Linked DNA regions of Arabidopsis thaliana. The protein of the gene in region 1 interacts with the protein of each later gene in a pairwise test. Each region holds a gene or a part of one and is shown in the gene's direction. Other genes may lie near its edges. The genes, in order: AT4G21650 and COPT2.

Evidence for each region.
Region 2: the proteins of AT4G21650 (region 1) and COPT2 interact in a protein complementation assay, tested with the Arabidopsis thaliana proteins (one large-scale study listed by BioGRID).

What each region holds. Positions count from the first base shown.
Region 1 is NC_003075.7:11,492,679-11,510,573, reverse strand, and holds AT4G21650 (Subtilase family protein), read left to right. Parts: upstream 1-5,834; 5' UTR 5,835-5,917; coding exon 5,918-6,037; intron 6,038-6,133; coding exon 6,134-6,225; intron 6,226-6,542; coding exon 6,543-6,640; intron 6,641-6,735; coding exon 6,736-6,915; intron 6,916-6,993; coding exon 6,994-7,290; intron 7,291-7,411; coding exon 7,412-7,803; intron 7,804-7,889; coding exon 7,890-8,146; intron 8,147-8,227; coding exon 8,228-8,342; intron 8,343-8,440; coding exon 8,441-8,633; intron 8,634-8,703; coding exon 8,704-9,260; 3' UTR 9,261-9,412; downstream 9,413-17,895. Other genes in the region: AT4G21660 (proline-rich spliceosome-associated (PSP) family protein), read left to right, coding at 802-1,023, 1,144-1,395, 1,481-1,543, 1,640-1,747, 1,906-2,265, 2,349-2,441, 2,533-2,619, 2,722-2,823 and 7 more; AT4G21640 (Subtilase family protein), read left to right, coding at 9,956-10,075, 10,182-10,273, 10,588-10,685, 10,776-10,961, 11,068-11,364, 11,484-11,854, 12,038-12,210, 12,308-12,422 and 2 more; AT4G21630 (Subtilase family protein), read left to right, coding at 15,074-15,187, 15,288-15,379, 15,645-15,742, 15,821-16,000, 16,083-16,379, 16,490-16,866, 16,961-17,217, 17,307-17,421 and 2 more.
Region 2 is NC_003074.8:17,261,767-17,276,439, forward strand, and holds COPT2 (copper transporter 2), read left to right. Parts: upstream 1-7,108; 5' UTR 7,109-7,120; coding exon 7,121-7,597; 3' UTR 7,598-7,744; downstream 7,745-14,673. Other genes in the region: AT3G46870 (Pentatricopeptide repeat (PPR) superfamily protein), read left to right, coding at 1,245-1,628, 1,719-1,754, 1,867-2,256; AT3G46880 (uncharacterized protein), read left to right, coding at 3,527-3,643, 3,735-3,777, 4,034-4,134, 4,204-4,320, 4,417-4,500; AT3G46890 (maternal effect embryo arrest protein), read right to left, coding at 4,650-5,264. UniProt on the Arabidopsis thaliana protein: Involved in the transport of copper.

The sequences.
Region 1 (17,895 bases):
TCTAAAATACACAACTACGTAAAGATAATTTTTTTTTATAGACAGTATTTTTTTCCTTGTTTAAAAATAACCGTTACGTACAAAAGCCGTTACAAAATTCTTTCCTAATGTCTTTTTTTTCCGTGTTCTTTCCTAATGTCTTATGAAAACAATTTTGAAACTAAAAAGGCACAATGTATATTGTTCTAATTGCATAATAAACAACCGATAACATACACCGGGAGTCGTGCTCACATTAATAAAATCTCAAAGTGAATAAAAATTACCTCAATTCATGTAAAAACTAAATTTTTACGAATAATAAACTAAAACATTTAAATTTTATTAAAAGTTTTGTTGTTAGTCAGAGAATTTTATTTAAATCTCAAATACCCACATATATACAATTTTGATACTTATAACTTTCTTCAAAATTTCAAGACATTGTGTAAACTGTAATTTTATAATTTTAAAAGTTCAATAGAACATTTTTACGAATAATGTAGAGTTAACTCGTGCCAACATTTATAGTAGTGTTTGAATATTGTTCCATACATTTCCTTTGAAATTTTCTATTAGTTACTAGTAGATGGTCTTCTACAAAACAATTCTTACACTCGAAGAAAAATATAAAGTGTTGGGCCTATTGGCAGATATATTCGTCTTCTACTTATATGGGCCTTATGCCAAACCGGAAATAGAATCAGAGAGAATTTCAGCAAACCGACTCTTGTTCATATACGTATATCCTCGATTTCCGTCGTTCTTCCTTCTCCTCTCAATCTCTCTTTTCACATCACCGATTCAGAGAGAACACCGAATATGACCGCCGATTCAACCGTCGCACTCGTTCATAGCGTCGTTTCTAACGGTGATGTCTCCAACGGAAACACCTCCGCTTCCTCTAAGAAATCTCGTGAGATTGACCGTCGCCGCCGCAGACGGAAGCAGAAGAAGAACAACAAAGCATCCCAAGCCGATGTAGATGCATCGGACGTTTCTGCTGCTTCTGAATCCAAAGAGAATACAGATCCCCAGCCACAGGTTAACTTTGTGCTCATCTTCTCGTACTCGATTCATGGAGAGGTGTTCTAGGGTTTTTCTTAGGGTTTGTGATTGTTTATCGTTTGCTGATGATTTTTGGTATATGTTTCTCTTTGATAGGTTTGTGAGCAGATTGTGATAGAGTATGTTCCAGAGCAAGCTGAATTTGAAGATGGTTTTAACGATGAGTTTAAGGAAATCTTCGAGAAGTTCAACTTCCGCGAACCTCTTGCCTCTGAAGAAGACGGTACGAAAGATGAGTCTGAGGAGAAAGAAGATGTCAAAAAGAAGGTTAACTCTGATTCTGATTCAGACGACGACGAGCAGGATAATCAGAACAAAGAGAAAGGCATCTCTAATAAGAAGAAAAAGGTATAGCTCAAACCTTATTATTACCTCTCAATTTGTTTTATTGCATTCTTTAGATTCTGAATATTCTGAATTTCTGTTTCCTCAGCTTCAACGGAGAATGAAGATTGCTGAGCTGAAGCAGGTTTCCGCTAGGCCTGATGTTGTTGAGGTATGGATGCTTCTCTATTGTGTTCATAGTACCAAGGTTTATCTCGTTGTGTAGATATCTATTGTATATTCATAAGTTCTGTTTTACAATTTTCAGGTCTGGGACGCGACTTCAGCAGATCCAAAGCTGTTAGTGTTTTTGAAGTCGTACCGGAATACAGTTCCTGTTCCAAGACATTGGTCGCAGAAGAGAAAATATTTGCAGGTTTGTGATAATTCTAGTAATGTACTGTAGTTAACTATATGTTTCTGTGATTTGTGGGTGTGGTACTGGTACATAGGGGAATTATATCAAGAGGGATAGAAACGTCTGTGATAACCATGTCAATTAAGTTTCCTTATACCTATATATGCTTCTTGCAGGAGAACATCTGTGATAACCATGGAGCCTGGACTTGTAGGTGTAACCGGAGAGGACTCTTAATTTTTTTTTTCTGTCTATATATGAAATCTGTGGTGCTTAGGTTTTGGAGTAAACTGTTTAATGAATCAGTTTGGGATATTCCCTTTCTGAAACTGTATTTTGTTTTCGTATGCATGATAGTGATCTTGCTTTTAGATGCATCTGTTTTTGTAGTACTTTTATACTGCTTTTTCTTTCTTTTTATAAGTTGGTGGCATCTCAGCGGGGTTTCATTTTTGCAGGGAAAGCGTGGGATAGAGAAGCAGCCATTTCATCTTCCTGATTTCATTGCTGCAACCGGAATTGAGAAGATTAGACAGGTAAAAGTTATTCTCTATCAATATAAGGTGCAAGTCGCTAAATGCTTCTACTGTCAGCTAATTCTTGTGTGGTTCTTATGTAGGCTTACATTGAGAAAGAAGATGGTAAGAAATTGAAGCAAAAGCAACGGGAGAGAATGCAACCAAAAATGGGAAAGATGGACATTGACTACCAGGTTTCTATTTTTTTTAATCTTTGTTTTGTGATGAGTATTTGCTGATATCTGTTCTATAACTGACAAGTGAAGCTATTCTTTCCTTTCTCAGGTACTTCATGATGCATTTTTCAAATACCAAACAAAGCCTAAGCTGTCAGCTCTAGGCGATTTGTATTTTGAAGGGAAAGAATTTGAGGTAATTCCTTGTGACATGTTTTTTCAGCTTTATCTATAATTACATTGCTTGGTTTCATTGGTTTGTTTACCTAAAATCTAATTACTATCATTTGGGAAATAGGTTAAACTGAGGGAAACGAAACCAGGGTTTTTGTCAAACGACTTAAAAGAAGCTCTTGGTATGCCTGAAGGCGCTCCTCCCCCATGGCTGATTAACATGCAGGTGAGTTTATTGTGACTTATCTTTTTAATTATTCTGATTGGAATCGAGTTGTTCACCTTTAATCTCTTCTTTGACAGAGATATGGTCCGCCTCCTTCTTACCCACATCTGAAAATTCCTGGTTTGAATGCTCCTATTCCAATTGGAGCTAGCTTTGGTTTTCATGCTGGCGGCTGGGGGAAACCTCCAGTTGACGAAGTAAGCATTTTTTTTTATCTACATTCTTCTTTTTTATTATTTCTATGCCATCTACTAACTTTTATTTTTTTCCCGTTCTTATCGTTTGTGTTACATAGTATGGGCGTCCATTGTATGGAGATGTTTTTGGTGTCCAGCAACAAGATCAGCCTAACTACGAGGTAACTGTTTTCATCTCTCTCTGTTATTCTCCTTAGTAATTGCATATTGTGCTACGAGGTAGATACCACAAAATACAAAGTAAAAGCGTCCTATTGAATATTTAGAGATCATACAATTTGGTGATAGAGTATGACGGTTGTATTTTATCATTATCTTAGGAGGAGCCAATTGATAAGAGCAAGCACTGGGGTGATTTAGAGGAAGAGGAAGAAGAAGAGGAGGAGGAAGAAGAGGAACAAGAAGAGGAGATGGATGAAGAGGAACTAGAAGACGGCACTGAATCTGTTGATACACTGTCAAGGTATTGTTATCATTATGCATTTATGAGGTGTATACTATTTATTTGTTTCCTTATCAGTATAATCTAAGTATAAAGCTGATTTGTGATTTTCCCCTTCTTTCAGCACTCCTACTGGTATAGAGACACCGGATGCAATTGAACTTCGTAAGGATCAGAGAAAGGAACCTGATAGGGCTCTATACCAGGTTTGAAACCTAATTTTGATGATCTTACACGCCTTGTAGGCTTTTCTATTAGTTTGATATAAACCAATAATTCACTGTTTCTGGTCGTTAATGCCTTTTTTTTTTTGACTTGTGAAGGTACTCGAGGAAAAGGGAGAGAGTGTTGCTCCTGGAACATTGCTGGGAACCTCACACACATACGTTATTAAGACTGGTACTCAAGAAAAGACGGGAGCCAAAAGGGTAAGCAGTCTGTTGTTACATGCTCAGAGATTTGTTGTTTTGCTTGATGACAAGTGGGCTAACGTATGCAATTGTGTCAAATTGAGCAGGTTGATTTGCTGAGAGGGCAGAAGACAGACAGAGTGGATGTCAGCTTACAGCCAGAAGAGCTGGATGCTATGGAAAATGTTTTACCTGCCAAGTATGAGGAGGCAAGAGAAGAGGAGAAATTGCGCAATAAGCCAGTGGACTTGAGTGACATGGTCGTCGAGGTAATGACTTTCTTTATATTTATATCTCTATTTTTTTCAACACTATTGATATGAATGCGGATGAATAATCAAACGTTTACTTGGTGGAATGTTTAACAGCATGTGCAGCAGAATAGTAGGAAGAGGAAAATGCATGACAAGGAAGGGAAGAAGAAGAAAGATTTCAAATTCTGAGGTGTTCTGGAAGAGACACGGAAAAGGATTCTGGATTCTGGACATGAGAGAGATAGGGAGAGATTCTTGTTCCAGAGTTATTAGTCTTTGAGTCAGAGATCTTGAGTTTTAGTCTTAATGCTTATGAGATTCTATACTATGTTGTTATCTGAAGGCTTAAGTAAAACTTTGTTTTTGGAATTTGAACAAATTCAAAGCCTGAGACTTGGAACAAAAAAAGTGGGGAAAAAAGGCTTTGTTTTGTAAGCGACGTCTTGTTTTTCAAATTGTCCGAGTACTTTCAGCGTTTATGGTTTTTAAAAGATTGATCATTCGGTCTACAGAATAAACCGTCGATGTGATCTATTTCAGTGCACCTTGTTATCTTTAAGCGAGGCAAAAATATGTACATTTTCACGACATTCGCTCCTGAAACCAAATTATGTTCATATGTTACTGTCATATGCATAGTGTGAACTAATTCATAGGCATGATCCTTGGGTTGTTCAATCCCTGCATGTGATGAAAAAAACTTAACATACTGTGGATTTTTTCAATGATGTATTCTATTACTTTTCCAATATTAGGCGACAAATGATTCGACCACACCTCATTCCGGGAGAGTAATGAAACAGCGACAAATGGCCAATTATGCCACTCATTGTCCTACCGGGCTACCACCATTCTTCACCTTTCTTTCAACATTATCATGAGCATGATGACTCGTAGAGTCGTAGGGTTCCTAAATCGCCTTTCTTCACCTTTCTTTCAACATTATCTATTTATCTTCTTTTCAAATCTCGCTTATTAATCATTATACATAGGCCTCTACATGGTAGACACATTTAGAAACAACAAGAAGTCTCTCCAAATATGAATGGTTATTCAGCCTACAAGCGATGTCAGAATTTTTTTAACACGTAGTTAAAAGTTTAACTTTGCTAGACAAATGAAATCTAAGATTAATATAAACATAAGAAAGTATATATGCTTGAAATGAGACAAATTTAGCTTTACCACTTAAAGGTTTTAAGCTAAGTGGATTCCGCTTCTACAATGATTAATGTTTGTCATTTTGGTTTCTGTTTACAATGAGTTTCACATACATACTAATTAAACTACTAAGTACTAGCCATTATAAAACATGCTGAAAAACGAGTCACATATGGTTCATCGTACCATAACACCTTTGGATTCCCACTACTAAAGAGATTCAACTATGGGTGGTCACTATCTATTTTATCTATAAAGTGTGAAATCCTATTTTTCATTCAAATCTTAATAATTATAACAAAAGTACCATTACGAGAGGATTGGTTTTAGTTTGGTAAGTTTTTTTTGAACCAACCAAAATTGAATACAATGTACTTCAGTGATAAAACCAAATATTAACCCGAAAGAAAAACTGAAACAAAGTGAGATTGTTTTGAGTTTGACACTACTCTCAATTATTAAACCGAACCAAACCAAATCCGAGCCGAAATTCGAATTTAACCCAAAAGTTCATCCCAAATGGTGGTGGAGTCATGAAACGTGAATTGAAAGATGAATAATAGATGAATTATTTACTATATATACAACCATAGAGGCTTCTATGCCACCACACACTTCTCACTTAAGAAAATGAATAACTCTTTACAAAGTTCTAAACTTGTGCTTCTATTGGCTATTGCTTTGGTCCTATTTCTTAACACGGAGCTGGATTTTCTTACAGCTGCTGGAGCCTTAGACAGTGATAGCAAAGTATTCAACTAAAAATACCTTTCTCTATTTGCAAAAATCTCTAAGAGTTAACGGATTTTAAATTTTGTTGGTACTCTTGTTTCGCGGATTTTATAGGTTTATATAGTGTATCTTGGCGAAAGAGAACACGATGATCCTGAACTTGTCACAGCTTCTCATCACCAGATGCTTGAATCACTTCTTCAAAGGTATTATACTTGAATCATCTTTTAAAAATTTCTACTAATAATGATATTGGACAATTACCTATTGAATTTGTTTATATGTACAGTAACTATTCATTAAACTTGTCATATATACATGTTTAATGTTTATTAGTTAAAACATTTATTCAGGCATCTGTTAGGTTGATAATAATATATTACATACGTTTCTTGTCACACAAGAAACTCATTAGCCCATACTCTGTTTTTCTTCACAGAATTGAAACCCTCCTCTGTTTTAAACTTTGTTTGTTATGAATTATGAGCTCATATTTCACTTTTACATATCATGTTATATACAGCAAAGAAGACGCACAAAACTCCCTGATCTACAGCTACCAACATGGATTCTCTGGTTTCGCGGCGCTTCTTACATCATCACAAGCTAAGAAAATTTCAGGTACTCAACAAAACTCAAACTCACATTTAAGGAATATTCGTATCTTTGACTCTGAAAACAAAGTTTCTAAACCAGAATCTTGTAAATAAACACAGAGCATCCAGAAGTTATCCATGTTATACCAAACCGGATTCGGAAACTTAAAACCACAAGAGCTTGGGATCACCTTGGCCTCTCTCCAATTCCAACTTCTTTTTCTTCATTATCATCTGTAAAAGGTCTTCTTCATGACACCAACTTGGGCAGTGAAGCTATCATCGGTGTCATTGATTCCGGTATCTAACTCTCTCCTTCTCTAACTCTAACTCCCTCCCTCTTTCCTTGGCTCACATCATGTATGTATGTATATGCAGGGATATGGCCAGAGTCAAAGGCAGTCAACGATCAAGGCCTTGGACCAATACCTAAGCGTTGGAGAGGAAAATGTGAACCTGGAGAACAGTTTAACGCCACAATACATTGCAACAACAAGCTAATAGGAGCTAGGTACTATCTAAACGGTGTAGTCGCCGCAATTGGAGGAAAATTCAACAGAACAATCATCCAAGATTTCCAATCCACCAGAGATGCAAACGGTCACGGTACACATACAGCCACAATAGCTGGTGGCTCATTTGTCCCCAACGTGAGCTACTTTGGTTTAGCCCAAGGTACTGATATATATATATATATATATATTATTTCACCACAGAAGTTAGCTTAAGAGTCAAGGTACTAGTTTTATAAGACAATAGTTTGTTTCCTTTTTAACCGATGTGTGATTCTTATCAGGTCTTGTCCGAGGTGGTGCTCCTCGAGCCCGAATAGCCTCGTACAAGGCGTGTTGGAACGTAATGAGAGATGAAGGAGGAGGAACTGATGGAAGATGCACATCTGCTGATATGTGGAAGGCTTTTGATGATGCTATACATGATGGGGTTGATGTTTTGTCGGTTTCTATCGGGGGAGGTATTCCCGAGGATTCGGAAGTCGATAAGCTCGATTATATCGCGGCTTTTCACGCGGTGGCTAAAGGGATTACGGTTGTGGCTGCTGCGGGTAACGAAGGGCCTGGTGCTCACACTGTTGACAATGTTGCTCCTTGGCTTTTGACTGTTGCTGCAACTACTCTTGACCGGTCTTTTCCTACAAAGATCACACTTGGGAATAATCAAACCCTCTTCGTACGTTTTACTAGTTAGAGAAAACAGTTCAAAGTTTGGAGTTCTTTTTTGAGTAACTTGTTGTTCTTTTGTTCGTTCGTTTTTAGGCTGAATCTCTGTTCACTGGACCGGAGATTTCAACCGGTTTAGCTTTCTTGGACTCAGACAGTGATGACACTGTTGATGTGAAGGGGAAAACAGTTCTTGTTTTCGATAGTGCAACTCCAATTGCAGGGAAAGGTGTAGCAGCAGTGATCCTAGCCCAAAAGCCTGATGATCTTCTTTCTCGATGCAATGGTGTACCATGCATTTTTCCAGATTACGAGTTTGGAACTGAGATTTTAAAATACATACGTACCACCAGGTCTCTATCTTGAAACAAAAACACTCTCTTAACTACACAAGTGCATGTATATATATACATCATTGATCGTCGTGCCAACAGATCTCCCACGGTGAGAATTACTGCAGCTACTACACTAACTGGTCAGCCTGCAACAACTAAGGTTGCTGCATTCTCATGTAGAGGGCCTAATTCGGTTTCACCAGCCATTCTCAAGGTTATTAAGCCATTGCGTCTCTTATCAATGTTTACTTCAAAAGGTTTAACGTTTCTGAGTAAACTTTGCTAAATATGTGGTCATGTTTTACTCTGTAGCCTGATATAGCAGCTCCGGGTGTGAGCATACTCGCGGCAATAAGTCCGCTTAATCCAGAAGAACAGAACGGATTTGGACTTCTTTCAGGGACATCAATGTCAACTCCTGTTGTTTCTGGAATAATAGCTCTCCTAAAATCTCTTCACCCTAAGTGGTCTCCTGCTGCAGTGAGATCAGCTTTGGTCACAACAGGTTCCTGCTTCTTCTTATTCTTCTTTTCCATAAACAAACCGTTACAGACTATCATCTGTTTCTTTTGTAGCTTGGAGGACAAGTCCATCTGGAGAACCAATCTTTGCTGAAGGATCAAACAAGAAGCTTGCAGATCCATTTGACTATGGAGGAGGACTTGTAAACCCTGAAAAAGCTGCTAAACCAGGACTTGTCTACGATATGGGGATTGTGGATTACATCAAGTATATGTGTTCTGCGGGTTACAACGACTCTTCAATCTCTCGTGTGCTCGGTAAAAAGACTAATTGCCCAATTCCTAAGCCATCAATGCTTGATATCAACTTACCTTCAATCACAATTCCAAATCTTGAGAAAGAAGTCACACTCACAAGAACTGTAACCAATGTTGGACCCATCAAGTCAGTCTATAGAGCTGTGATCGAGTCTCCTCTCGGTATAACTCTCACCGTGAACCCAACCACACTCGTGTTTAAGTCTGCAGCTAAGAGAGTACTCACTTTCTCGGTTAAGGCTAAAACAAGTCACAAAGTCAACACTGGCTACTTCTTTGGAAGCTTAACATGGAGTGATGGTGTTCATGATGTTATAATCCCTGTCTCTGTTAAGACAACGATTTCGATGTAATAAAAAGAGCCATATGATGCTCATTGTGTTTGTTCTTATGTAATTTGTTGCAAATCTAAGTCTAAAATGTCAAATCAAGATTCAAGATCATCATAATAAAAGATCAAATCACAAATACCTTAGAATCTCTTATAAAAGATCATGATCATAACCTATAGCTGTAACATTACATACAAATATATAATCATCATATTGACTATATATTATAAAGATGTGATATTTTAGTGTACACATAAATGCAAAAAATGGAACTGGTTTGCTCTCCTGTGATCCTATATATATTAAAGTTCAGAATATAATCTGTTTTACTAAAATGAGTAATTCAGACAATCATGATCTACCAACTTATACAGATACCTAATCTACTCTATTAGTTAGAAATGATTGATATCCTCTTATACTCAGCTGAAATTAAAGTAGGTACACTATTAGTATATCTATAATAAGAAAGACATCAATAATAAGAAAGACGACAATTGTAAGAGTTAAAACTGAGCCCTCTTGAGATCCATGGCGGGAAATAACGTTACACAAGAGATAAAACCGGTATGATTCAGAATTACCATACCGATATTGAGCCGAATAAACCAATAATTGAATTCGAATCTTACGCAATAGTTCACTCCCTAAAGACACACTATGTATATAATAAAGCTTCTCTTCGACAGAATCACACACACTTCTCACTGCATAAAATGGAGAACTCTTTCCTAAGTTCCAAACTTGTGTTTCTATTGGCAATTGCTTTGGTCCTATTTCTGAACACAGAGCTGAGTTTTCTTACAGCTGAAGGAGCCTCAGATAGTAACAGCAAGGTATGTAAATGTAACTAAATTAAAACGGTGTTCTATTTTGCGAAAAATCGCTAAGAATTTACTGATATTTCTAACTTTTTCGGTGGTTTTTTGGCGGATTTATAAGGTTTATATAGTGTATCTTGGCCAAAGGGAACACGATGATCCTGAACTTCTCACCGCTTCTCATCATCAAATGCTTGAATCACTTCTTCAAAGGTACTTTACTTTAATCATCCTTAAAAGAAGGCCAAAATTTCTTCTATAGAGACTAATCTCTATATTGGACATTAACCTATTGAACTTGTTTATATATACTGTGACGGTTCATTAAACTTTCCATATATTAAATTCAATCTCCATTATATATTCAGACATATGATTAGTTCATAATTATATAACAAATACGTTTCTTGTCACCCAAGAAAACCTCTCCATACTCTGTTTTTAACAGAACTTGAGCCCTCCTCTGTTTCTTTTCCTTTGTTTGGTACGAGCTCTTCTCATACTTGTGTCTCTAATAATATATACAGCAAAGAAGACGCACATAACTCCATGATCTACAGCTACCAGCATGGATTCTCTGGTTTCGCGGCGCTTCTTACATCTTCACAAGCAAAGAAAATCTCAGGTACGCAAACAAAACTAAAACTCACATGTAAGGTCTTCGAGCATTGAAGATTTTTTGGTTCCTAATCCAGAATCTTGTATATAAACACAGAACATCCAGAAGTAATCCATGTTATACCAAACCGGATTCTGAAACTGAAAACCACAAGAATTTGGGATCATCTTGGCCTCTCTCCAATTCCAACTTCTTTTTCTTCATCATCATCTGCAAAAGCGAAAGGTCTACTTCATAACACCAGCATGGGCAGTGAAGCTATCATCGGCGTCGTTGATTCAGGTCTCTCTCTCTCTCTCTCTCTCTAAATCTAACTCTCTCTCTCTCTCTAAATCTAACTCTCTCGCTCTCTCTCCTTGGCGCACATCATGTATGTATGTATATGCAGGGATATGGCCAGAGTCAAAGGTCTTCAACGATCAAGGTCTTGGACCAATACCTAAGCGTTGGAGAGGAAAATGTAGATCAGGAGAAAAGTTTAACGCCACAATGCATTGCAACAAAAAGCTTATAGGAGCTAAGTACTATCAAAGCGGTCTACTCGCCATGAATGGAGGAAAATTTAACAGAATAATCATCCGTGATTTCAAATCCAACAGAGATGCAACCGGTCACGGCACGCATACAGCCACAATAGCCGGTGGCTCATTTGTTCCCAACGCAAGCTTTTATGGTCTAGCACGAGGTAGTGATATAGCAAAAACCTTATGGATTTTATTCACTAAAAAGGTTAACTTAAGAGTCAAGGTACCGGTTTTATAAGACATTATTTATTTTTCTTAACGGATGTGGGATTCTTATCAGGTACGGTCCGAGGTGGAGCCCCTCGGGCCCGCATAGCCTCGTACAAGGCATGTTGGAATGTAGTGGGATGGGGCGGTATATGCTCATCTGCTGATATGTGGAAGGCTTATGATGATGCTATACATGATCAGGTAGATGTTTTGTCGGTTTCTATTGGGGCGAGTATTCCCGAGGATTCCGAGAGGGTCGACTTTATCGCGGCTTTTCATGCGGTGGCTAAAGGGATTACAGTTGTAGCTGCGGCGGGAAATGATGGGTCTGGTGCTCAGACTATTTGCAATGTTGCTCCATGGCTCTTGACTGTTGCTGCAACTACTCTTGACCGGTCTTTTCCTACAAAGATCACACTTGGGAATAACCAAACTTTCTTCGTACGTTTGATACCAAAAATAACTTTGAGAAAATAGTTCAAAGTTCGACCTTATTGTTTTTGCTACCAAAAGCTCAAATTAACTTGTTGTTTTTTGTTGGTATCTAATTTGGCTGAATCTTTGTTCACTGGACCGGAAATTTCAACGGGTTTAGCTTTCTTGGATGATGATGTTGATGTGAAGGGGAAAACAATTCTTGAATTCGATAGTACTCATCCTTCTTCAATTGCAGGGAGAGGTGTAGTAGCAGTCATCTTAGCCAAAAAGCCTGATGATCGTCCTGCCCCAGACAATTCTTACATTTTCACAGATTATGAGATTGGAACTCACATTTTACAATACATACGTACTACCAGGTCTCTCTATCTTGATGCCAAAACACTCTGTTACATACTTATATAAGTTCATATACATTTCTGGAATATATACATTATTGATCCGTCAAACCAACAGATCTCCCACTGTGAGAATTAGTGCGGCCACAACACTAACCGGCCAGCCTGCAACGCCTAAGGTTGCTGCATTCTCATCTAGAGGGCCTAACTCGGTTTCACCAGCCATTCTCAAGGTTATAAAGCCTCTTATCTATATTTACTTTAAAAGTTGAATCCTTTTTGTGTAAACTTGTTAGAGTATGCACATAGTTGGTACTCATAGAGTATCATCAACAATTTTTTATTATTAATTTTAATGCTTGTTTATTGTTTGAGATTTTTTATGATACTCATAATAATCTCTTTCCAGTGGTAAGACCAGTATTGGTATCATCAAAAAACAAAATTTATTTGTAAAATCGAAATTACATGCTAGCATCGGCTACTGGAGCGATAGTCGAGAGCAAATAATTTTTTTTTCTCTCATTTTCCACAAAAACGCGTTTTTTCGACTAATTACAAGCCGCCACGTCATTAGAGACTGGTATCAGAAATTATCACTCCAGTGATACTTCTCAAGTCCAAATCAGTTGCTTTGTCTATTAATTTAATATTTTTAGGCTTATGATACCCACAAAAAATCTCCTATGTACATGGTCTTATATATCTGGTCATGTTTTTACTTTGTAGCCTGATATAGCAGCACCGGGTGTTAGCATACTCGCGGCAGTGAGTCCGCTTGATCCTGGTGCGTTCAACGGATTTAAACTTCATTCAGGGACATCGATGTCGACTCCTGTTGTTTCTGGAATCATAGTTCTCCTAAAATCTCTACACCCTAAGTGGTCTCCTGCTGCAATGAGATCAGCTTTGGTCACAACAGGTTCTTGCTTCTTCTTATTCTTCTTTTTCATAAACAAACCATCACGAACCAATCGATCTGTTTCTTTTGTAGCTTGGAGAACAAGTCCATCTGGAGAACCCATTTTTGCTCAAGGATCAAACAAGAAGCTTGCAGATCCATTTGACTATGGAGGAGGACTTGTAAACCCTGAAAAAGCTGCTAAACCAGGACTTGTCTACGATATGGGGATCAAAGATTACATCAATTATATGTGTTCTGCGGGTTACAACGACTCCTCAATCTCTCGTGTGCTCGGTAAAAAGACTAAATGCCCAATTCCTAAGCCATCAATGCTTGATATCAACTTACCTTCAATCACAATTCCAAATCTTGAGAAAGAAGTCACACTCACAAGAACTGTAACCAATGTTGGACCCATCAAGTCAGTCTATAGAGCCGTGATCGAGTCTCCTCTGGGTATAACTCTCACCGTGAACCCGACCATACTCGTGTTTAAGTCTGCAGCAAAGAGAGTACTCACTTTCTCGGTTAAGGCTAAAACGAGTCATAAAGTCAACAGTGGCTACTTCTTTGGAAGCTTAACATGGACTGATGGTGTTCATGATGTTACAATCCCTGTCTCAGTGAAGACAACGATTTCGATGTAATAAAAAGAGCCATATATATGATGCTCATTGTGTTTGTTCTTATGTAACTACTCTTGCAACTCTAAGTTCAAAGTGTCAAATCAAGATTCAAGATCATCATCATAATAAAATATCAAATCACAAACTTAGAATCTCTTACACAAACATACAAATAGAGATAACAGTAATCTTTCCTCATCTATTCATCACAACCATATATTATCCATATAATAAAAACTACTAAAACCGAATCGAGACAAAAGGATCCTCATGATCTCATAATCTATAGCTATAACATAACATAGCAAATATATAATCATCATAATGACTATATATTATTAAGATCAAGAATCAAGATGTGATCTTAATTATATCTTAACAATAAGCAATACACTCCTTCTTACAATCCATAGTGAAAGTCTTAAAAGGCTTAACAATGATTAATGTTTGCCATTTTAATCTCCCTTGACCGAGTTTTTTCATGTTGAGTCTATATACTTTAATAACTAATTTATAGCCAAATTAACATAATGTGGCGAATCATGTAATGTACGTGAAAACGTAATTCTGTTTTAAGCAAAATTTGCACATATACATTACGATTGTTTGATTTATCATATAATTTTTGATTCTGTATTTTGTTAAATAGTTAGTTATATATTAAGCAAAGATTGCACACATTACGATTCTTTGATTGCCATATAATTAGTTTCATCGTACTACCTTTGGAATATTCCACTATCTATCAAAGAGATTCAACTATCCGTGGTCACCATTTTATAATCTATAAAGTATAAAGTGTGTAAAAAAAACAAATTCAAAACGATATACACATTAAAAAAAAATCCGGAATTGGTTTGCTGTCCTGTGATCCTATATTTCGGTGTAGAGTCTTCTATATTTCAAAAGTTCAGAATATAATCATTCTATACTAAATTGAGTAATTCAGTCAATCATGATCTACCAACTTCTTAATTACAGTTACCTAACCTACTCATTTAGTTAGAAATTATTGATATCCTCTTATAGTCTTATACTCATTTGAATTATAATTAGGTAATATATATAATTAGGTACACTATTCGTATATCTATAATAAGAAAGACGACAATTGTAAGAGTTAAAACTGAGCCAAAAAGTTATGGTGGGAATATCAGTAACGCTACACGAGAGATAAAACCGGTCTGATTCGGAATTACCATAATAAGTTGAATAAACCAATAATTGAATCCGAACCAAATTCGAATCTAACCCCAAATTTTATTGCTTAAGACGAATTATTTACTATTTATATGTATATAAAAAAGCTTCTATACCACACAGTCACACATGCACACACTTCTCACTTCAGACAATGGAGAACTGTTTATCCACACTTGTGTTTCTATTGTCGATTGCTTTGGTCCTATTTCCTAAGACAGGGGTGAGTTTTCTTGCAGCTGAAGGAGCCTCAGACAGTGACAGCAAAGTATGTAATTAGAGAAAAGAAGGTATCTATTTGCGAAAATCGCTAAGAGTTTACTGATATTTCTAAACTTTTCCGGTGTTTTTTTTGGCCAATTTATTAGGTTTATATAGTGTATCTTGGGGAAAGGGAACACGATGATCCAGAACTTTTCACAGCTTCTCATCATCAAATGCTTGAATCACTTCTTCAAAGGTACTTTACTTTAATCATCTTCCAAGATAAAATCTCTATATTAAACATTAACCTATTAAACTTTTCATATATATAATTTATCTCCATTATGTATTCAAGACATCTGCTAGAATTGATAATAATATATTACATACGTTTTCTTGGGTGCCAAGAAAACTGCCGTCGCCATACTCTGTTTCTTCACGGAACTTGGACCTTCCTCTGTTTTTATCTTTTGTTTTGTTAGGAGCACTTCTCTTACTTGTGTCTCTAATGATATATACAGCAAAGACGACGCACATAACTCGCTGATCTACAGCTACCAATATGGATTCTCTGGTTTCGCGGCGCTTCTTACATCTTCACAAGCAAAGAAAATCTCAGGTACTCAACAAAACTCAAACTCACATTTAAGAAAGTTTCATATCTTTGAGCATTGAAGATTTTTGTACATAAACACAGAGCATCCAGAAGTAATCCATGTTATCCCGAACCGGATTCTGAAACTGAAAACCACAAGAACTTGGGATCATCTTGGCCTCTCTCCAAATCCAACTTCTTTTTCTTCATCATCATCTGCAAAAGGTCTACTTCATGAAACCAACATGGGCAGTGAAGCTATCATCGGCGTCGTTGATACCGGTCTTTCTCTCGCTCTCTAAATATAACTCTATCTCTATCTTTCTCCTTGATTCACATCATGTATGTATGTATATCTATGCAGGAATATGGCCGGAGTCAAAGGTCTTCAACGATCATGGTCTTGGACCAATACCTCAGCGTTGGAGAGGAAAATGTGAATCAGGAGAACAGTTTAACGCCAAAATACATTGCAACAACAAGCTAATAGGAGCAAAGTACTATCTAAGCGGTCTACTCGCCGAGACTGGAGGGAAATTCAACAGAACAATCATCCAAGATTTCAAATCCAACAGAGATGCAATTGGTCACGGCACGCATACAGCCACAATAGCCGGTGGCTCATTCGTTCCCAACGTGAGCTTCTATGGCCTAGCCCGAGGTACTGATATAGCAAAAACTTTTGGATTTCATTCACTAAAAAAGTTAACTTAAGAGTCAAGGTACCGGTTTTATAAGAAAATATTCGTAACGGATGTGGGATCTTGTCAGGTACGGTCCGAGGTGGAGCCCCTCGGGCCCGAATAGCCTCATACAAGGTATGTTGGAATGTAGTGGGATACGATGGTATATGCACAGTTGCTGATATGTGGAAGGCTTTTGATGATGCTATACATGATCAAGTAGATGTTTTGTCGGTTTCTATTGGGGCGGGAATTCCCGAGAATTCCGAGGTCGATTCGGTCGACTTTATCGCGGCTTTTCATGCGGTGGCCAAAGGGATTACAGTTGTGGCTGCGGGGGGTAATGATGGGCCTGGTGCTCAGAATATTACCAATGCTGCTCCTTGGCTCTTGACTGTTGCTGCTACTACTCTTGACCGGTCTTTTCCTACAAAGATCACACTTGGGAATAACCAAACCCTCTTCGTACGTTTTACACCCAAAAAACTCAAATTAGTTAAATAGTTGAACGTTTGGAGTTATTTTTTTAACTTGTTGTTTTTTTTTGGTATCTAATTAGGCTGAATCTCTGTTCACTGGACCGGAGATTTCAACCAGTTTAGCATTCTTGGATTCAGATCATAATGTTGATGTGAAGGGGAAAACAATTCTTGAATTCGATAGTACTCATCCTTCTTCAATTGCAGGGAGAGGTGTAGTAGCAGTCATCTTAGCCAAAAAGCCTGATGATCTTCTTGCTCGATACAACTCTATACCGTACATTTTCACAGATTATGAGATTGGAACTCACATTTTACAATACATACGTACTACCAGGTCTCTCTATCTTGATGCCAAAACACTCTGTTACATAAGTCCATTTACATTTCTTAAATATATACATTATTGATCCGTCAAACCTACAGATCTCCCACTGTGAGAATTAGTGCTGCTACGACCCTAAACGGTCAGCCTGCAATGACTAAGGTTGCTGAATTCTCATCTAGAGGGCCTAATTCTGTTTCACCAGCCATTCTCAAGGTTATAAATCCATTGTGTCTCTTATCTATGTTTACTTCAAAGTGTGGTTAAACGTTTTTGAGTAATTATGTGGTCAAGCTTTATTCTGTAGCCTGATATAGCAGCTCCGGGTGTTAGCATACTCGCGGCAGTGAGTCCGCTTGATCCTGATGCGTTCAACGGATTTGGACTTTATTCAGGGACATCGATGTCGACTCCTGTTGTTTCTGGAATCATTGCTCTCCTAAAATCACTACACCCTAACTGGTCTCCTGCTGCAATGAGATCAGCTTTGGTCACAACAGGTTCTTGCTTCTTCTTCTTTTCTTCTTTTTCAAGAACAAACCGACTAATCGATTTCCTTTGTAGCTTGGAGGACAAGTCCATCCGGAGAACCCATTTTTGCTCAAGGATCAAACAAGAAGCTTGCAGATCCATTTGACTATGGAGGAGGACTTGTAAACCCTGATAAAGCTGCTCAACCTGGTCTTGTCT
Region 2 (14,673 bases), on another chromosome or scaffold:
GTTTCTGAAGTCGATGCACAAAGATGAGTCTTTCACACGCTTATTATTCCAAGCAGAAGATTATTAGAGAGTTTTGATTAAATTTGGAGAATAATCAAAAATTAAATATCTGGATGATGAGCATCTTAAAACGGTTATTTTTTGGAAGTTCACTACCGAGGATGAATCATCGCGTAATATTGGAAAATAACCATATGCGATAATTCATCCTCGGTTGTTCACATAACGTTCTTGTATTGCAAGAGAGGATTTTATCAAAACATAACTTTTTGTATTGCAAGAAAGGTGTGATCATACTCTGTTTTTTTTGGAGGTCTCTTGTAGCTTGGCCAATGAACACATCTACTTCTCCGTTCGATCATATGACCGAGTTTGCTTATGGAGGTGGCCACGTCAGTCCAATAACTTGTCTATGAAGTTACTAAATCCGACCATATCACTTTCCTTTGCGGCTTGAATTACACAACAAAGAGTTTAAGACTCATTTCGGGTGTAAACAGGAGTGGCAGTGATGAACAAAGCCAATCAATAGCAAGAAACCTCAACTACCCATCCATGAACGGCCATGATTATTGGGCTTTCTAAGCCTATTCTAACTTCCCATTAGTTTGATATTGTCTTTGCACAAATTTGTTTGGATACCTTCCCAAAAGGCTCCAGTAGGAGTTAGACCTTACTTTTTTTCTAATATTCTAATGTGGGTCGTTGGTTTGTATCCCAACAACGACACCAAACCATTCAACCTGACTTTTGGTAGAATAGTCACAAACGTCGGTATGACAATCGACTTACAAAGCCAAAGTACTCTGATCAAAACTCACCATCTGGTTGTTTCAGATTTCTTGTCACTTAAGTCTATGTACTAGAAGAGGTCTTTCACGGTTACGGTTTCAGGCCAAGGTCCCGAAGCTGACAAACTTGCATCGTCACATTTTATATGGTCTGATGGAGTCCATTCTGTGAAATCCTATCGTTATATATGCTAGGAACTAATGTGTCAAAATCAGTTCATATCTCTCTATAATTTATGATTCATTTTGATTATAATGTTCTCGTTTGCTCTCCATCTCCTTTAGATTTTAAAGAAATAGCATCATATCTCACTAAACTAAAAAACGCGACGTTTTAACAAACGAAGCACCATAAAACGGTGTCGTTTGTACGTTTAACACTACCGTTGTGTGTTTTATGTTATTGTGTGATACAGAGGAAAGGCGACGATTCAAAGTTCACGCCTTTGAGAGATGACAGCCATTCGCGTCTGCTCGCGAAAGTTCCCAACTTTCGCTTCGATTTTCTTCCAAAACATTACAAGGAATCCGTCAATTCATCGAATTTCATTCTCGAATTTAAAACCCAAAACGCTACTTCACCCAATTCCGCCGAAACCCTTCACTGTCTTTGTTTCTCGGTTCCATGACGGGAGACCAAGAGGTCCTCTCTGGAGAGGTAAGAAACTGATCGGAAAAGAAGCCCTTTTCGTGATTCTGGGTCTCAAGAGATTGAAAGAAGACGACGAGAAGCTGGACAAGTTTATAAAAACCCATGTTTTCAGATTGTTGAAATTAGACATGTTAGCTGTTATCGGTGAGCTTGAACGACAAGAAGAGACTGCGTTAGCCATCAAGGTGCGTTCTTTACGTGACAATTTCTTCTGGGTCTTTCAGCTTATGTCTCGCTTCAGCTCATCTTTAGTTTGATCTCATGTGCTCATGAAGTGTTCGACGAAATGCCTGAACGGAGCTAACATTAGGGTAGTTATATTGTTTAAGTTTTAGACCATCCTTTATAGATCATATACGTATATTCTTATGGTTTTGTGTCGTTTTTGTTGTGTTGTTGATGATTGGTTTCTTCAACTTATAGATGTTTGAGGTGATCCAGAAACAAGAATGGTACCAACCTGATGTGTTTATGTACAAGGACCTTATAGTATCCTTAGCAAAGAGTAAAAGAATGGATGAAGCAATGGCGTTGTGGGAGAAAATGAAGAAAGAAAACCTCTTTCCTGATTCTCAGACTTATACTGAGGTTATCAGAGGATTTCTTCGAGACGGATGTCCAGCTGATGCTATGAATGTGTATGAAGACATGTTGAAATCTCCAGATCCGCCGGAAGAGTTGCCGTTTAGGGTTTTGTTGAAGGGGCTTCTGCCGCATCCGCTTCTTAGAAACAAAGTGAAGAAGGATTTCGAAGAGTTGTTCCCTGAGAAACATGCTTATGATCCACCAGAAGAGATATTTGGTAGATGCTGAGGTTTGTATGCACATAACTTTACTCTTCTATCTCAGACTTCAAGTGTTTCTTCAAACTGTTCTTTATGAATAGTGTTTCTCTCCACTTATGAAGTCTTAGTCTTTTGGCAATTTAGATGTTTGCGACTGTTATTCATCAATGACTTGTGTGCATTGTGCAGGGGAAGTCTATCTTGATCAAGATCCAGAATGTGTGATCCTGAAGAAGTATCAGTAGATCTGAGCAAGTGGCGAAACAAAAGACTTAGTTAGTTAGACGAACCCAGATGATGTAGCGACTTCTATTCCTTGTTATGATGCTTCATGATATTAGGCAGAGACCGAAATTTTGTGAATGCATCATCTTTATGAAGTGACTTCTATTCCTCGTTCTGATGCTTCATAATATTAGTCAAAGACCTAACTTTGTGAATCTATCATCTTTTGAGTAAAGAAGATTCTAAGTTGACAACTTTTCTACTTTTTCCACATTTCTTTGGCCTCTCATGTTGTCGAAGGGCTCTTCTTTTATCATTCTTACTTCATGAACAACTTAATAGAAGTTTATAATCGTCCTTGTGGGCGTGCCGGAGTGGTTATCGGGCATGACTAGAAATCATGTGGGCTTTGCCCGCGCAGGTTCGAATCCTGCCGCTCACGTTTTTGTGTTTCAATATGATAATCATTGACCCCCAAAAGATGAAGACATCCCCATTTGAGTGCTCTTTAAATATACATGACCAAATCCATTCGAGTATTTGGAATATTATCTGGTCATTTTATTAATGTATTATACCATTATGTTATCATCCACTTGACGAGACAAGAAGAACATTTTTAGTTTGGGATCAATGATATTTGACCATTCTTTATTAATGTGACATTACTGGTGAAATCTATGAAAATGATGGTAAGATCTTCCGCCAAAATCTTCTTTTTGAAAAAACTGTTAAGACAACAGTGGATTGAAAAAGCTCAAGTACAATTGTGTTTGGCTCTTTGTGATCAAGAAAGGTTGGAATCCTATATTTTCTCTCTGAATATATTTCTTTCGTATGTAAAATTGCATCTAACATAGTAAAATCCAAAAAACCAAACCGAATTAACTAAATCAAAATAGTGGTGGGGACTAAATTTAAAAGCAGTTTTTTTGTTCTTTTGACTTCTCACATTATCATATTGTAGCATTTTCTATTTGTCTATATATACACTCATGATCTTCTACATTTTTCATCATCTTCTCTTTTCATTTCCTTCTAAGTGATTAGTTAATAACACATTTCTCTTAGTAATGGAGGGTAAAGGAAGAGTTGGATCATCATCGTCTTCTTCCTTCACAGCTCAACTCTTTGGCCCCAAGGAACCTTCCTCCTCTGCCAACTTCAACTCCATTTTCCCTCCTTCCAAGGTTCGATTATTTCTCTATAGTTTCTTCTGTTACTTTTTATGATGGATTCTTGAAATTCATTCTTCCTTTCTCATTTTTTTCGTGTTTTCAGGGAACAGCAAGAAACATCCTAAGCTCCAAACATGGGTCCCTAGGTCAGTGGAAAAGTCTTAATTAAGCCTCAGAAAACTTGTCTCCCTTCTTGAATCAATATGGTTCCTTTCACTTTATATTAAGCCAGGTTTTACTAGAAAAACGTTTTGATTCATCTCAAAAAACCTTCTATCTCATGCCAAGAACGGCTCAAAAATTCTTCATCTAAGATTCACCGTTCTTTAGTCAAGATTACTATCCAAATCCGGGTGGTCTAATGGATACATTATCTCCTTGGTTTTCGTGGTTTCTTCACAGAACAACGTAAAGAAGCTGGAACCTGCAATCTAAGCTCATCTCTTTACTACGGTGGTCAAGATGTTTACTCTCACCCCACACACAACCATACTTACCCTACAGTGAGTTAACATAACTATCATTTTATCATCCACCCCTTCATGTTACTTTGATTGTTGATTTTTTCATAGAAGAGACAAAATCTTTTGACTTTACAAAACGTTGAATCATTCAGATTAACAAGGATCAGAACAGAGATAACAACGATGCCAATTCGTCTGACGCCTCTAGAGGAAACTGGTGGCAAGGTACTATACATACCCTAACCAAATGATGTTTGTTACAATATTCACGTCTTTGTTTGTTTTGCTTATAACATATGCCTAATCTTGATATTTTCGCAGGTTCACTATATTACTAGAAGCTTCTCTAAGTGCGTCTCTGTAGAAGAATATCAAGTTGAAACAGAACAATATTTGATTGTTTGAACATTTTGTTTGTTCTTAAAAAAACTGTTTCAATGATGTATACTTGACTGTCTAATGTTAAACCAAAGATTAGATCTCTGGCTACAGAACTAATCGAATCTGAAACCTCAAATCCATCAGACAAGAGATTGTAGAAACCCAAAAAAGGGTTAATAGATAAATGCGTAGAGCACAAGGAACACATAGATAATAAGTGCAGAAGGAACAAGTACAACAAGAGGAACAATAGCTGCAAGTGCATGAAAGCTTCTCTTACATTCCAAAGGTCCAAGTTTAATCTGAACAAGATCCACTAACGCCATTGTCAAGAACCCACATCCCAAAACCGACGCAACACACGAAGCAACAATCCCAACCCTTAAAGCTGCCAAGTTCACACGCCCCTCTCCCGCGTTCAACACACGCGCCTCCTCCTCTAAACAGTTCCCGTTTGTTGTTGTTGTTGTTGTCCTAATTGCTTGCTTGAGAGACATAGCGATGAGACTGGAGAAGAGGAATAAACTGAAGGAGTAAACATGGCTTGATACTAGCCTCTCCGCTAATGCGGGACCTTTTGCAGAGATACATCGGCGGAGATGGTGGTTCTCGGAGGCTGATGAGGAAACCGGGAAAGTGATGTTTCCACTTGTGGTTAGGCCGAGGAAAAGAGCAAGCGAGAAGAGTGAATTAACGTTCACGATGCCGTCTATAGCCGTGACGTGGATTAGTGTAGTTGGGAGGAGTCGTCGCCGGAGAAATTCCACGGCGCCATTGGAGATTGCCATCAAATCTGAATCGTTATAGCTCCTAGACAACAATTTTGATTGAGAGAGATAGAAATTTAGTAATTCATATTTAGAGAAAGTTTAGCTTTTAGTTGTCAGTTTTCCGGAGACTGTGGGAAAATGTGAGTAGCGTAGAAGCTAAGTATTGCGTGACGTCTCCGAGGAAGAAAACGACGGACAGGTAATGATAGGAAACGTGAACCGCAAGGTATCGAACCTTTTTTCTTTTTTGGGCTTTTGTATCGATACGTCGTCGTAGAGGTCATATTTTTTTTTGTCTTTTACCCAACAACACTAATTAGAGAATTTTATATAATCTCTATGATTAGCTTTTCTATAATTTTGTAAAATCTTCATATAATCTTGTAAAATCTGTCTAAATATAATTACAAACTTTGTCATTAATTATTTTTATCTCTTAGAGGGTGATTGACATCGCACTGTCAAGACTTTAAAAGCATTTGACAGTCCTTACAGCATTTTTTCATACAATCAGACTGTTATTTGTTTTTGCTCTTATACAGTCTTAAAAGTCAGATTTTTTTTTACTCTCTGTAACTTCATTTTTATCTAAAGCCATGTAATTGAGACTTTAAGTGGTGTTAAAGCTTTTGCAACAATTATTATTAGAACATATCTCTAAAATATTGGATAATATTTTCTCATCTTCTATAAATACTATTTTCACCAAAATGATATTATTATTTTAGGCTTTCTTTATAAAAAACGTAAGTATTGATTGTCAAAAAGTGTACTCTCCCAAAATATTCCACTACGATTTTGTTAATACGTAAGTTTTCAAATTTTCCTAATTCATCTTCTTAATTTGTGTGTTCATATACTATTGTCTTCTTTGTGTTTGAGTGTTTTGGTTTTGTATATTTTTTTTTTATGATTAAAATTCTAGTGATTATCAATTTTTTTTCTTATTACTATCTATACATATATGCTTAGTTTATGGGGAATTCCCAAAAGAGTAAGGAAAAAGGTCAATACAAACTGTGTCGTGAGGTTTTGAGGCTTGTGATAATCTATGGTCATTCTTCACGATGGTTTATCATTGGTCTTTGTTTATATACAAAGTTATGATTCACAATCGCTCACTTTTTATGATATTTTCATGATTTTGTTTTGTGAATAAAAGTGTATAAAATTATAAACCAATAATACAATAATTTAAATCATTAACAATCATAGATTCTTTTGTTTTTAGTTGAATATCACAAAAAAATTGATGACTTTATTAAATTATGAATCCAATAACTTCAGATTTATTAAGACTTTAGATTACTTTTTACAAATCAAAATTTAATAACACTAAACTTTAATAGAATCTTATAAAATCTTAATTGAATAACAAAAGATTTTTCATAACATTTCAAACCACTAAAAATCTATATAAATAACAAACCAATAACACCTCCTTAATTTTGGTTTTGAAACCTAAGTTACTAAATCCTTAATTACATTTGTATAAATTCTTTTCAAATTATTAGATTTATTCTAAATTAAAATTAGATATTCTGTGTAAATTATTTATTATACCAACGCAAAGAAGATTAGACGAAGAGGCATGGAGTTGTAATGTTGTATCATGCAAATAAGGTAAATACTATATATATATTTAGGGGATTATATAGTTGTCTTTCTTTTGAACATCTATTTAAGGGGATTTTCTAAATTCTAATATAACGAATGTTTGTACTACACAAAAAAATTTAACAAGTCAAAAGATGATGTACTTGTACTACAGTACAACACATACATTTAAGAAATCACAATAAATACGAACCGATTCTCTCTTAAAAATTTTGTCTACAAGAAAATCAATCATAAACCCTATTAACATTAGTATCATGGATCATGATCACATGCATGACATGCCACCACCATCACCATCATCATCATCGATGTCGAATCATACAACACCACACATGATGATGATGCACATGACCTTCTTTTGGGGTAAGAACACGGAGGTTCTCTTCTCCGGATGGCCCGGGACAAGCTCCGGCATGTACGCTCTCTGTCTCATTGTTATATTCCTCCTCGCCGTAATTGCCGAGTGGCTCGCTCATTCACCGATCCTACGTGTCAGTGGCTCAACCAATCGAGCCGCCGGGCTCGCTCAAACCGCTGTGTACACACTCAAGACTGGCCTTTCGTATTTGGTGATGCTCGCTGTTATGTCCTTTAACGCAGGTGTTTTCATCGTCGCTATCGCCGGCTATGGCGTTGGTTTCTTTCTCTTTGGGAGCACTACTTTCAAGAAACCCTCCGATGACCAGAAAACCGCCGAGCTTCTTCCGCCGTCTTCAGGCTGCGTTTGTTGAACAATTGAAATTACTCTTTGTTTTTTTTTTTATCAACAAAATTACTCGTTGTGTTATAAAGAACTTTTCTTTTGTGTGTGGTTTGGTTTTAAATTTTGATATTTCGTTTTGGTTTAACTCGATTAATAGTGGAAGCTAAATATTTTCAATTGATTTTCTTAGGTTACAAAAATTCACTAAATTAATTCCACAATTTCTTGAATATTTTGTGACTTTTGGATTTTTTTTATGAAATCACAAAATTAATTCCACAATTTCATTTGAATTTTGAAGAATATGGCTATCTTTTTCTTGCATTATTATAGATAAGTGTATTTGACAAATTTTGAACCACAAACTTATGATAACAAATGCTGTCCATAGAAGGTTCTTGTAACCATCCACAAGTATTTTCATTGTAAATACATATATGGAGAAAAGAAGAACTAAATTATTGATTTTCATCGTATGATATATGCATGTCTACTCAATATATCTAAGACAAAATAAACTGATCATTTAACTTTAATTCAGTCACCTATTTGATTCACGGTCGGATTGGATTTCGATCGGTTTAGATTATCAAACACTATTTCTTTGTGTTTGAAATCTAATGAACCTTATTTTCTTTTCTTTCAGGGTTGAATTATTCGACTCTTAGTTTGCTTTTACTTCTGATGTCATACAAACAAATTCAAAAAACAGAAAGTAGCACGAAGAATAAGAGCCGCCCAAAACAAAAGATGTTCACGGACTAGGTGAACCAATTATATGAATTAGGGTTGGGCAAAATATTCGTTCGATCCGCTTCGATTCGGTATTTGATTTGATTTGATTCGAAAAATCCGAATATCCGTAAGATTTTGGACCAAAGTAAATAGGAAAATGTAGTATTCGTAAAAACCGAATCAAATAACGAATATTGTTTTTTAAAAAATCGAATATCCGCTTCGATCCGTATCTTTTTATATATATTAGAAAATATAGTTATATCTATATATAGATATCATAAATAGTTTATGTATTGTTGTCATTTTATGTTTTTATGTTAAAATATTTGTTTGTTCATTTTTTTAATGTTATGTTTTGATCAATGGCATCAAAAACTATCGGGTTTTAGTTTTTGGAATTAGTTTGATAACATTTTGTTGACCGATGATACCAACAACGGTTGTGTTTGGTATTTAAAACTTATTTTGAAAGCATGTTTAATAAAAACTTTGAATATCTGATATGGTTATATAGTATACAGTTTTTTTTAATATTTAAATGTATCAAAGCGGATATCTGCAAATATCACAAAAAATTCTGGATATTCGAAATTCCGGATATCCGGAAATTTTCGAAGCAAAGCAAATCACAAAATCAAGTATTCGTTTAAAACAAATCGAATAACAAATATCACAATTTTTCCGGATATCCGCTTCGTGCCCAGACCTAATATGAATGACTGGTCCATGCATTATCGAATTACATTATACATGTATGTGCTCTCTTTTTAATAGAAGTGATATTGCAAAAACTTATATTAGTTCCAAGCTTTCTATATAGAAATTACGAAATACAATTAAAAAGATAGACACCGTCGTTGACAATAGAATTAATAAATTAAGATATCTTGAGCTTAGCAATAATTTATTAACGGTCAACCAATAAACAAGTACTAGTATAGTACGTACCAAGAGAACGGCAAGGTTCACGCCTTTTCTTTTCTTTGGAAAGTAAATGATTTGAGAGGACTAGTTGATTTCTTTTAGAGGCTAAAATGGTTATATAAACTTATTAAACCGTTCTCTAAATATTCTATAGTTCTACTATGCTAACCAAGGTTCCAAAAAACAGTTTAGGCCGCCTGCCTAGGCGCTCATGAACCACAAAGTTATGATAACAAATGATGTATATAAACTATCGTCGAACGATTTCTTGAACATTGATTCTAGGAAACCGCACAAAAGGATTCGAATTCAACATGTGATCTTCATCTAACCGGTAGAGTTGGTTTAGTTTTGTTCGGATACATTTAATCCGGTTTAGCTGATCGTCAATAAGAAGAACAACCAACATAACTACAGAAGGCATGTGTTACGCCTTGAGAGAACCATTAAAGTGACTTGCGCAGCAAGAAATTGTCTATTTTCAGTCATTAAGAATAACCTTCACAGATCAACTCACAATCTACAACTTATCATTTGTTTCTTTAACATTGAAATGAACAGAAGAAGAAACCATTGTACTATTTTCTCATGACTATATACATGCCATTTTTGGAACCTCTCTTCAATATTAATTATGTTATTTTCAGGAGAACCAAGAAGTACTGGTCGACGATGGAATCTTTGAATCATGGTGCTTCTAAAAACATATATATATATATATATATATATATATATATATAAGTAAATAAATATCAATCTATAATTAAAGAAAAACAGTAAATTAAATTAGTAAAAGAAGCTCTCATAATGAGCCGAAACATTCACACTATATACTTTAAGGATTTCTCAAGCTCGGGGTAATACAATTCTTGACTTAGTTTTAAAATAAATCATAAATTTGTAAAAGGACTTGGGACTTTTTTATATACGTTAGAAAACTATTATTTTGTAATACTGTGAAAGTAGGAGCAATAAAAGGTAACAAAAAAAAACAATTATGAATATATAGTAAGATAAAATACCTTTAATGCAATATATTTCTTTTAATTATCACTAGGGCTCAATTTAAATAAATCATTTTGTAAAAAAAATTTGGTTTCCAAAGATTTGTTAACCTAACTTGTTCAATTTAAGTACAAAGTATACTGAAAATATGTTTCCTCTGTATCTTATGGATCGATGCCTCTGATTCCACTTAGTTTGACAATCGGCTATCATGAATCCACAACCCATTAATCGCTTAATCACAGAAGATCATGATGAAGATAAAGATCCAGCGAATATATGCATGTTAATCAAAAATATTTATCTTATTTTATATACTTATGTATTTTTTCAAAAGTAATAAATGATCGTGAATGTAGGTATTTAACTTTTGATGCATATTAAATAGTTTAAATATTCAAATTTCACGCATACTGTTCTTTTTTCTAAAAATTTGTTCTTTTTATGAGTATTTTTAGACAACCACTTAACTTCATATTATATGTAATTTTTGTTTTTTTTTCATACTATATTGTTTTTATAGGTTAAAGAATTTAATATTCATTTCAAAATTTTTAAATCATGGCGTATACGAAAAAATATATATTTATATTATATAGATGATGTGATGAATTTATATGTTTTACGAGGCAAACGCCTTATGCGCAAGGCGAATTCAGAGACCATTTGCGTCTAATATCGCCTCTTGCTATATCAAAGACAATTCAGAGACCATTCAGAGATCCATTGCGCTTGTCTACTATATCAAATCATTGTATAGTGACTTCTTGTCACTGTTTCTATGCATAACATTCATTACTTTGAGTGAATATTAAATGGTGATAATGACGAGCTCCATGTGAATCCCGACATGGTTGGAACAAAAGATGGTGGATGAGAAGAGAGATTGACTTAAGGAAGAGTTGCATGATGTCCACGTCAACATCGAGCCTATAAAGAGGATAAAGAACACAACCACAATAATACTACAAAATGTGAGTCTTTTTTTTCAGAAACTGTAGGACAATGCTACTTAGGACAATCTATTATGCATATGAAAGCTGGAACATTTTCAAGACTGTCATATTTTCTACCGTGAGTGGAGCAGTTGGCATGATAATGTCAATTCCACCAGTTATCTACAAATTCTTACATAAGCTGGAGCGGTACATGAGGAAAAATATAAGAGGAAAAGGATGCCCCGACGAGCGGATTCCACGAGTGTATGTTGAGTTATCAACAGTGGCAGATGCACAATATTGGCAAGGGAGAGGGTGAGATGACCCCCATAAATCTTTGAATTTTTGTTTATAATCTTATGTTCCATTTGATTATTGTGGTAAATTGGTTGCTTTCTCATAAATTGACCTCATGTCTAGTGCTCAAATCTATTCTTTGCACCTATGGAAACCATATTATATTGTTTCAATCATTTCTTTTGCATTATATTTTTAGAAAATATTATTGAACTATGACAAAATATGTTAAAATGGAATGATAAATATACTGTATATTATGAATAAAGAACAATAATGATTATCTCTTATTTTCTTTATTTTTAAAGACAATGAATTTTAATTTTTTAAGGATTTTTTTTTTTGAAATTAAATATTATATTTAAATATTTTATTAATTATTAAAATAAAATATGATCCCTATAACAATTTTTTGTAGCTCAGCCACTGGTTATTAAGCTTCTTTAGTGAAACACCTAATGACTGAAGATGATTCGTCCTTCTCGAAGAAAAAGGGGAAGTATCAAGATGCTAGAGATCTTGGCGTTTTTCTTGGGTTCGGATCGGCACTCGCTGATCCACACCCATGAGTAGCTCAAAGATTGACGGCGATTTATCCTCAAGTAAACAGAAAAACGATGAAGATCGGAGACCTTTCTCTTCCTGTGATTATCTCCGTGAAGACTACTCCTATAAACATATATATTGACTCTTTCAAATTTTGGTGGGTATGCTGTGTTCGTCATAGCTATGACTATCCTATTTTGTTTTTCATGTTTTTTGACATCATTTAGTTAAACGAGACCCTAAAATTTATTTGGATGATGCTTGGAAAAAGCTATAAGAACCATCTTCCTCGATGAGCCACAAAATTTTAACTGCAATGAGCTTATCAGCGTATGTTCTTGTATCTACAATTGCTTATTCTTCTTTCTTCCTGAATGTTTAATTTTCTTGACTCTTCTTGCATCATCCAGGCTGTTCAGAAAGCATGGTGTTCATGAAAGTCATCAGGAGAAGCTCTTTACAAACTGATCTTGGAGGAGTGTGAGATATATATCTCTGCAGCCATACGATCTTTATAGAATCGCAATGTCATGATGATCCCTCTGTTTTCCTGCCATTCATGGAGAATTGTTGGCGCAAGTTGCAGTTTCTCTGTGACATTGGTGGCCAAGGTCAGACAGTTGGTAAAATCATTGTGGGACTTGGGTGAGGAGCTTTTCCCCAAGAATCTCTGACAAAGATTTGCTACGATTTTCCCAAGCAATCTATTAGGTAAGGAGCTTTTCCCCAAGCATCTCTGAAGAAATCTATTGACAAGATTTGCCTCTCTTGTTTCCTAGAAGACGCTTTGTTGGAGAAAACGGCCAAACAATGTTTTAAGGATCTTGATTTGCCTAGGGAGGAATAGAAACAGAGTCTCTTGACCTTGAGCATATTGAAAAGATTCGATTCGGCTAGGGCGTTTATATTATGTCTGACCTTTTCTTATGATTGTTAGAAACGACTTAATTATGTACTCTACATGGAAGTTCTAGTTGCTATATTAAAAAAAAAATTGCAGAAATTCTAAGGCGATGTGTGTTTGTATGTTGACGTAGCAAAAATATGCAAGACGTAGTAGATGTTTTATACACTAGCATAACCTATTTGTATGTAACATCTTGTATGGTTATAGATTTGAACATGGTTCAATTCATATGAAACAGTTGGTCTTAAGATTGTGGTACATATGTTGAGCCTTGTTCTTTGGAAGGAAGCCTTGTAGCTATGGTCCGTAGTTCGTCCACGATCTCAGTGAAGCTTGGCCTCTCTGATGGTTCTGCAGACCAGCATCTCTCCATCAGCAATTTCCAGTCCATGTCACAGAAGTCGGGAATTTGTGGCGGTAGCGTATTACTAACTATACCACCTGATTTCACTTTTTGGTTAGAATCGAAAACAAAGGATACACGCCTGCACACAAGAATTATGGATCAAGGGTTTCACCTATATGATCGCTCCATAGTGCAAGTCGGCGTAAGGTTCTTCACCGGTGAAAAGTTCCCTGTAGCATCCAGAATTCCAGATAAAGGTATCAGATAGAGGGGATAATAACATAATAGAGACAAATAACCAAGCTGATTATGATTTTTATACTAATCACCATCTTTACAGAATTTCTCAAATTCCATCTTTGATTCTCTTTTTACCTATATTCAACTTTATAAATTAGAAAAATATTACAGCATAACAGATGGATTTTAAAATTGAATTATTTATTCATAAACAACTTAAAAATGTTCATAACAAAGCTATATCGTTTTTTAATTTCTTGAGTTCCCCAACTTCTTTTGGTGTGTTAGTTTAGTAAACTACGTAAATACCATTTTTACTTTATTCTATGTTTTTACTGTGATTATAAATGTTATACATATTGTTTAAATCTATATATATACATATAAAAAGTACGACAAACAAAAGTACATTATATATAACATATTTATTTAAATAAATTTTTGAAGTCTGAACATATTAACTTAAACTAGATTTTAACCCGCGGTATACCGCGGGACGATTTATTTTTAAAAATAATATATATTAAAACTTGCAAATTTTATTTTTACAAAATATTTATATTTTACAGTTTATAATTGTTATTAAGTAACGCTATACCACGAATTCCTGAGACAATTGTTAAGAAACTGAAGTTTTGACCCCTATTAAAAAAGCATATTAATAATATTTTAAAATTTTATAAATATTGATTCAAATACATCCACCATATAACCCAATTCCAAAATAAAACACGTTATGTAATTTTTTTACCCGTCCAGTGATTTTTTTTTAAAGTAGTAATTTTTAAAATTTAAGAATTATTTTTTATATATAAAAGTTTTGCAAATTGTATCATTCTCTAATACATTTATATTTTATAGTTTAATTTTATATATAGTAACATTATACATACCACATAACATTTTTGGTTTTATATAATTTTTTCTAAATTAGGATGATTTGATATGTTTAATATTAGTGGTCTTAAAAAATAATAAATTAAAGATTTAACCCATATTGAAACGGTGGATTAATTATATTTTACTTTTTTATTAATGTTGATTCAAAACCCTGTCCCTCCAAATCCGTCTTGCCAAAAAGTCATTTATTTTATTAATATTAATTTTATTAATGATATGACTCTGAATTATAATCTAAACATTTTAACTAATAACATAGGAGT